Oryzias latipes: one gene and its partner. The protein of the gene in region 1 purifies or fractionates together with the protein of each later gene. This does not show direct contact. Links are inferred from orthologs where the notes say so. Each region holds a gene or a part of one and is shown on either strand. Other genes may lie near its edges. The genes, in order: mkrn1 and pabpc4.

The links.
Region 2: the proteins of mkrn1 (region 1) and pabpc4 purify together in Homo sapiens (affinity purification with mass spectrometry; 3 studies listed by BioGRID and IntAct, with this or other methods). This does not show direct contact. The link is inferred for Oryzias latipes from reciprocal best matches to the Homo sapiens genes MKRN1 and PABPC4.

The regions. Positions count from the first base shown.
Region 1 is NC_019881.2:11,673,278-11,677,738, reverse strand, and holds the start of mkrn1 (E3 ubiquitin-protein ligase makorin-1), read left to right. Parts: upstream 1-1,633; 5' UTR 1,634-1,817; coding exon 1,818-1,885; intron 1,886-4,461. UniProt on the Homo sapiens protein: E3 ubiquitin ligase catalyzing the covalent attachment of ubiquitin moieties onto substrate proteins. These substrates include FILIP1, p53/TP53, CDKN1A and TERT.
Region 2 is NC_019880.2:16,801,854-16,805,674, forward strand, and holds part of pabpc4 (polyadenylate-binding protein 4), read right to left. Parts: coding exon 3,740-3,821; intron 3,661-3,739; coding exon 3,391-3,660; intron 2,017-3,390; coding exon 1,926-2,016; intron 1,821-1,925; coding exon 1,725-1,820; intron 1,651-1,724; coding exon 1,520-1,650; intron 1,442-1,519; coding exon 1,351-1,441; intron 579-1,350; coding exon 448-578; intron 382-447; coding exon 274-381; 3' UTR 243-273; intron 162-242; 3' UTR 1-161.

The DNA of each region.
Region 1 (4,461 bases):
TGCGTGACGTAAACCAGAGCAGTAGTGACACACGATCGGAGTTAACAGTTTACACTCACAACGATCGGATTAACAATCGGCATAACCCACCTATCTCGATCGGAAAGGTTTTTTGATCCGAACGAGTCTGATCGGGGCAGACTATTCCGAATGGCGTGTTTACGTGACGCATTTTTCTTCCGATCAGGCGTTCTTTCTGATTACTTTTGTCCATGTAATCATGCAGCTAGTGAAAGAGGAATGTTGAGATACAAAGAATTACCAGTTAAAAACTGTTGGATGAACAGTGAAACATTCAGTTTTTATCATCGTAAATCTGCCAACCATCAACCTCACTGCACGTCACTGAGTAGTTGTGTGTGTTAGAGAGGGAGAGAAAAGGGTGAGAGAGAGAGAGAGAGTGTGTGTGGAGGGGGTATCTGACCTCCAGGGTAGTCGCTGTGTTAACTTTGGCTAAGCTGCATTTAATGTGTGTATTGAGGGTGGACACTTTCCTTGAAATAAACACAAGTACAATACTTGCTGTTGTTTTGTAGGGAGAGGAATGTTTTATGGAAAATAATACGGCTTTAATTGTGTGTTTGTGTGTGTACGTCGTGGCAGGTCAGTGCCTGGTGTGGCTCTTTGACTCTCACAGTGAAAGAATTTGGCTCTTGGTGTCAAACTTGTTCGCCACATCTGATATATATGATCATATATCACCTTTGGCACATTAAAGAAGGATTTTTTTAAAATGAAATATTAGTTGTTTTTGCAGCAAATTTCTTAACCGGAAGTGAAACGCAACAATCTCTGAGGCTCTGCCTCCTTTCCTTGTGGTTGCCGCCTATTTCATGATGTCAATCGAGAGCTGGCCTCGATGTGAAATGGTCTGCATTTCACCCACAAAAATGATCAACATCCAAACTTTTGCATTGATGGATTTGCATATTTTGCATACAAAAGGAACGCTTATCGCCAATCACTGCTAGCTCTGCAGAGGAAGCGGGTGTGTGTTAACCTGGAGGCGGAGCTGGCAGCACAGACTCTTTCTGGAGGGACTGTTCCTCACTTTGTGACGTCAAAGTGTGAGAACCATTATATAATACATAAGTGAACGAAGTGCGTGTGACATCACCCAAGAAATTGCTTTGCTTCCGGGTCCAAATAGTTTAAGTCAATTCAATGGACATTTTTCCGTGACATGTCTGTTGCCGTGTTGGAACCCTTACGTCCTCAGTAAGCCGTGATTGGTTTGTCTACATTTCCATGGCAACCACTCCCTGAGTCAGGAGTGAGCATGTTAGAAGGCCACACTCCTCCCACTGAAACCGAACTGGGGATAATCTGTCAATCAAACACTTCAAATGCTTGACATGACGCCATCTACTTTTATTGAGGCATCTGATTGGTCAATTTGTAACTTGAATACCATGCATGACAGCAAAATATAATGATAAAAAAATAGGATTAGCAAGACCATGCTAATAACAGCTATCAGTGCAAGAATGTAAGAAGTTGATTTTGCATGATATAGGTCTTCTAAATCTTTTCCATGTCTTTGTTTTTTTTTTTGTTTTGTTTTTTTTTTGGACATTTGGAACTCGAGTTTAAAAAAAATCATATTCAAAAAATTCTAAAAGCAAAACAAAGAACCGCTTTAGATAAAAAAGTACATACATAAAATAACAAGAGAGAACGTTAGATATCCGGGACATACGACAGTCGTGTAAACAGACTCTCGGAAAGGTTCGTTTTGAAATGTGTGTGACGGAAATAGCCGAGTTGAGGCGGACCTGTCCGGAACATCCGGCTGGGGCTCCTCAACATAAACAGAAATGGCGGAGGCAGCAGCAGCGTCTACGGCGGCGGTAACAGGAGGTTGGACCAAACACGTAACCTGCCGGTGAGCCACCGTAACCCCGCGATATAGTGTCCAGGGGGCCTGGGGTGTTGTTGGGCCACAGAGAAGCGGGGCTTCGGGGCGCGCGGCCGGCCGGCTGACGCCTGTGTCCGTGTTACTGTTAGCTTAGCTGTGTTAACGTCACCAGATTCCTCCGTTGCTGACTTGCTCTGCGTTAGCGCAGCTCCGAGGCGACTCACCGCCGTCTGCGCGAGCGACGCGGTCAGGATCTCACCGACAACCCGGGTCACACACACGACACCGGCCCCTCGAACTACGACCAAACTTAACCCCGTTTTAGCTTTTAATTTGAACGGAAGCGTCCTGCCGGCTTCCTGGCTCTGTTGCGGGGTCCCCTCCGAATTCCGTCCCCGGCGTCAGCCCCGCTGGTTGTCGGCCTGTGTGTTTGAGCTCCAGAGGAGCAGCTCGGCTCAAGTGCTGCGGGGAAAGTGCGACAAGTCAGCAGATTATTCCTCCATATGGATCTGCTCCTCCGTCAAAACTGAAAACATTTAGTTCAGGTCGTTCACCGATCACCGGGTCAGGGCAGGAGAACCGACAGGTCTGTCTGTCCGGTCCGGTCCAGATCCACATGATCAGGTCGTCCAGACTCTGCTGAACGACAGCATTTCAAACGAGACTCCTCTTCTGATTGTTTTTCTTCCTGTTTTCAGCATCTTGCTGCTGATGTTCCTTTACTTTTGGTTCCAAAATAGAACACTGGTTTCTATTGAAAATGAATAGAGCAGTGTTAATAATAATACAGCTGGAAGGAAACTTTCAGCTGGTTCAAAGTTTACACAGTTTGAACACTGAGCACGACCCACTCCAATGGAAATGTTTTTGTAGCATTTTTCTGATGATAAAGGACACATTTAAAGAAAATTATGACTAAACGTTTCATTTCTGGTTAGTTCTTTATTCAAATCATTGGGAAATGGGAGCAAACGAGGAAAAAAAGAGCAGTTTGAAAAAGATTGTAGTTTTTTGTAGAAACTACAACCAGCACAAGCTCCCTGCTCCACTCCATTCTGATGCATCCACCTGCAGACTAATAGATCCATGAACGTCTTTGTTTTCCTCATCTGAGTTGGAATCTGGATCAAAATTTGGAGAAATCCATTTTTGTTGCACCGCTAATGTTAGGTTGGGGGTGTGAGGGGCTGTAGTCTAGCTGGAGAGAGTTGTAAACAAAGGGATCATGGGAAATGAGTGCAGGCTTACCACACCTACAGTTGTGCCCACTACTCGCAGGTGAATTTCCAATAAGCTCCTCCTGTTCTTCAGAAACTATGTCCTAGAATATGACACAGATTTTGGGGAATTTTGTTTTAAAAAAAATCACAAAAGAGCACTGGGAACACTTTAAAATAGATCAAAAGATGATCTAATAACAAAGGTTTTAGATTTTTTTATTTTTTTTAGAAATACATGAAATGTTCTGGGGGCTGCACAGGGGTGTAGTGGTTATCACTCTTGCCTCTCAGGGTTCAAATCCCAGCTGGTTTGTTTCTGTGCAGGGTTTGCATATTCCCCCTCCTTCAGGTGTAACCCAACCTGTTCTCCAGGTTCTTAGTTTTTCTCCTACAGTCTAAAAACTGGCTTTAAAGGGCAAATGATGAATCCAATCCAAATTGTCGTCGCTTGGTGTAAATATCTTGACTTTCTCATAAATCTAACTGTAAACTCAAATTCAAAAATGCTGAGAAAACAAGGACAGATTCAATAGAGATGTCCTAGTTCTGCTTCCATTGTATTTTATATAAAGTCATTACAAAAACGGCCTGAAAACAGTATAATGTTTTATTATTGTTATTATATCATTGACATTAAAGCTGCAGGTGTGTCACGAGGAAGAGGGGCAGGGGGATTCACACCTGACAGGTCACAGGTCACACAAAAAACTGTAATGCAACAAACACGCTGCTAAAACACAATTGTGTTATTTATAAAAATGCAGTTTTTTATTCATGTCCAATGAATTAATTTTGTTGTATTGATCCGTCACGTCTTAACGGCCGGTCTGTGAAAATATTGTCCGATTTTAAACCGTCAGTGTTTACATTTAAGTGACAGAGGGAACAGCTCGTTAGCATAGCATCATAGCATTAGCGTCTAATAACAGCGCGGTCTCCATATCAACACGTTTTATTCATCTGATTGTTGCTGCTGTAAGTGAAGCAGCTTTTTATCCTCCAGTTCTGACTGGATCCTGGTAAAAATCACTGCATATTCCGCTGTTTCATCACTCAAAACTGAAAGCTACACAGGTGAAGTGACCTCATGTGCTTGTTTCACTCTCGTGCAGGCTGTAGAGGAGGAAAGGAGAAACAAGAAATTTACCAAATTGAAACGACTAAGTTTATGCAAACATTAACTTGTCATGTGATGATTAACCCGCTAACTTTTAATCTATAGTGAGTCTATTTTGATAGACTCATTCTATTGAGAAAGTTATATCGAAATATGTTTTATCATTTTATTGCCCATCCTTCACATGACACATTCTGATCATTTGGCTTTCTTGTCTGACATTTTGCAAAAATCATCCAATTGACCTCAAAGTAATTCATCTATTT
Region 2 (3,821 bases), on another chromosome or scaffold:
CTTGGTATTCAGTTAAAAATTATTATGGAGTTACAAAATGATCCACTTTAAGGATTTTTAAAATATTCAAGTACTTTGCAAAATTGAAAGTATTTTCCTTGGTTTTCATCATGTTTGAAGGATTTTGTAGTGTGTTCCTGTTCACCTCAGCTCGTTTACCTCTGAAAAGACACAATGATTCATTATTACTACAGCAAAATCACAAATGCTTGAAACAGCAAGTATTACTGTTATTTATATACTTGTTAACCAGGTGTTTACGCCATCCGGTCTTCAGGAATTAGCAGAAGCAGCAGCAGTGGCAGTAACCATGCCTGCCACTTTCTGGGTTGCATCTTTTTTGGCTTGGTGAGCTTGCAGCACAGCAACAGCTTCCTCCACCTGATCAAAGACACTGTTTTAGCGTGAGTGCGTATTTTGACATTTTTAGCGCGTGAAAAAAAGCACCTTTGATTGCAGGGATTCGTGGGACTCCAGCATGTGCAGCAGCTCAGAGTTGTCGATCTCCAGCAGCATGCCGGTTATCTTTCCTGCCAGGTTGGCGTGCATTGCCTGGATCAGTGGGAAGAGACGCTCCCCTGTTCAGAAATAGACCACAGTGAATGCCTGAGAACTCAAGAAAGGCAAAAAGTTTACAGAGCTTGCATGTTCAAGCACTTTCAATAAAAAGTCCATGTAAATGCATGTTTCAGGCTTATGCGTTCAAAACTCTCGCGTTCACGTGACACTACCCAAGTTTTTAAGTCAGTTTTCGGGCTCTACGTACAAAATGTGGACCATTGAATGTGCATCGAAAATTAAACCAGTAAAACTTTGACCAATCAGGGACTCGGATGTGGAGTAGCGTCCATTATAATTCACGGAAGTGCCAACAGTTTGAAAATTGATCATGGAGGAGAAATTAATGGTTGCGGTTTGTGTCCGGCGGAAATCATAGGACACCAAGTCTTTCATCTATTGGAATAGAGATGTGAAAGAAAAAGCCTGGATACACAAGATAAGCAGCTGGGTAGCTCGGTTGGTAAGGTGAAAGATTACCACACAGGGTTCGATTCCTGGAGGGGAATGAACAATGGTAATGGGGGAATTACCATATCAACATCCCTTTAAGCCCTTAACGCTACTCCCGAGTGGGATGGGTCAACTGCGGAGAACAATTTCCCCATTGTGGGATAAATAAAGTAACAATTATTATTATGATATGCTTTGGCATTTCGCACCAAGCCTCTTCCAATTGTAGGTACATGCACTAGCACAGGTTAGTCCAGTGTGAACATCATGGGCTAAAAGCGTGTTCAAGAATCCACATCATGTGTCAAATGCCCAGTGTGTACATAGCACAGAACTCACCAAGCATCTGCTTCTGCTCTTGAGGGGGTGCAGCAGCGAGCATAGAGGCTGTAAGTGGCTCTTGGCCCTGAATGTGGACAGCAGGCTGAGCCTTGAAGAAACAAAAACATTGGTTTATAGAGGATAAGTCTGATTGATATTCAATATTTCAGGACAATAATATAAATACCTGCTGTAGGGCAATAGGCTGCACCACCTGGGGATTTGGGTTGCGGACACTGGTGGCGTATTTGTAAGGAGACATAGTTCGGGGACCAGGTACTCCCATTGATGGACGAGGGGCCATGGACTGCCCGGATGCTAGCAGCAAACAGGAAAACTAAGATACAAGTCATAACTCTTTTTTAAATCTAGTCTAATCTATACAAACACACCTCTTGGGCCCTGAGAGCCGCCGCTGGGAGACATGTGCCTCATGTTGCCGCGAGGTCCTGGCTGACGCAGCGAGCTGGGCATGCCCTGGAAACCACCTGAGAGCGATGAAAGCCCAGAAGGAAAACAGATTTCATCATACCAATAAAATGTTTTTTTTCTTTTCTTACAGAAAGATGCAGCATCATGTGCTTCACTTTCACCTTGACCTCTTCCACCTTGTTGCTGCCATCGGGGGTTGGGTCGCATCTGGGCCAGCTGATTGGGTGCATAGTATGTCGTTCTGTTCTGGGCCTTATGGGAAAGAAAGTGGAATACATTAAGGAGCAGCAATAAACTGAACTGTGGGTCAGAGGGACTTTGTATCAACCATTCTCTACACAACATGCTGTGTGAGGAAAGAAGTTAAGGTATGACATTCCTCTCGCGGAGGTGTTTTACAGCCATGTCTCAGTCATTCCACACTTACTGTGCAGTTACTAATATGTTCTCTAGTTTTTCTCATTTATCTGTCTCTTAATTATTTTATTAACTGATTTATTTAAATTTTATTGTTGTAAGCTGTTGGACAGTTAAATTTCACTGCTTGGTGTCAATAAGGTTTTGGTACGTTGGTACCAGTTGGTACAGTGGGTCTAAATCTAAACTTAATTGGATTTATTTTTACCAATGATGAGAAATCTTTTTTTTTAATTTTAAAAATCTGTACAAAAATATTTGCACTATCTTACTTTTTAATTTATATTTTACTTAATTTCTACCACCTGCTCTTGAACAACTGTCCATTTTCACATTTTTATTGAGTCTGTGTTCTGTTTGATTCTGTTATATAAACCTAAATGCATAAAATCTAATAGAAGATCCAAATTGACTGTTATTTCCTGTTATATTTACAGTATTTACAATGTGAAATATGCAAGCTGTTATGCATGCCTCATTTCCAACTTTTTAAAGTGATGTTTAAAAAAACCCATCCCAGTCATCTTTTGATCTATTGTAAAAGTGTTCCCAGTGGTCTTTTGATTATGATTATGCCATTTTTAGCCAGATTAAAAAAAATCTCAGTCGCTTTCTAGGACATAGTTTCTGCAGAACGGCAGTAGTTCATTAGAAATTCACCTCTGAATTGTGGGGGGGACTGTTGGCACATGATACTGTGCAACAAAAATGGCGAGCAATTTCTGAGGTATCCAGATTTGGAATTTTCAGCCAGATGCCAGCTCGAACAAGGAAGACAAAGACGTGCATGGATTTCGTCGTGTACAAGTGCATGTATTGGAATGGAGCAAAGCAGGGAGCTTGTGGCCTGCCGATTGTGGCACTATGTCACAGCTGCATGCTTTTTCACCTGCTCCTAATTCACAACTATTTGAATACAGAAATAGTCAGAAATGCAATTTTAAGCTTAATTCTTTTTTCTATGTATGTCCTCCATCATCAGAAAAATGCTACAAGAATATGTTAAAAACACCAAAAAAAAACATTTTTATTGGAGTGGACTGTCATTCTTACCAAGTTTGAGCTAAAGTGCTAGTCTGCTACTATGAAACCATTTTCATGATAATATTTAACAGGTATTTTGTCAGCTTTGTTTTCTCAGTAGTTGTCTGCATCATGCAACCCCTATTAAAAAAGGTCCTCCACCAAGTTTGATTTTGGTTCTCACACCTGTGGCACAGCTGGCATGAAGTAGCCAGATGTTGGCTGGAATTGATTAATGATGGCATTTGGAGGCATGGCCCTCATGCCAGCTATACGCTGCATGTACTGGTTCGTGAGGTGGGCCTTGCGCTCTTCTTTACGCTGAGCCAGAGCCACATAGAGCGGTTTGGAGCCAACAATACGTCCATTCATCTCAGTTACAGCTTTGGTGGCTTCTTCAGGGGAGGAGAAGCAGACAAAACCGAAACCCTTCGAACGACCGTCTTCTAGCATCACCTAGAACACAGGCAGATGGAAGTGACATAACTCTAATGTTCTTATCCAGTTATTGAGAATTTCTAACTCACTGTCTCACCTTCGCGCTTGTAATGGACCCAAATGGAGAGAATTCCTTACGCAGTTTCTCATCATCGATTGTGTCATCAAGGTTTTTGATG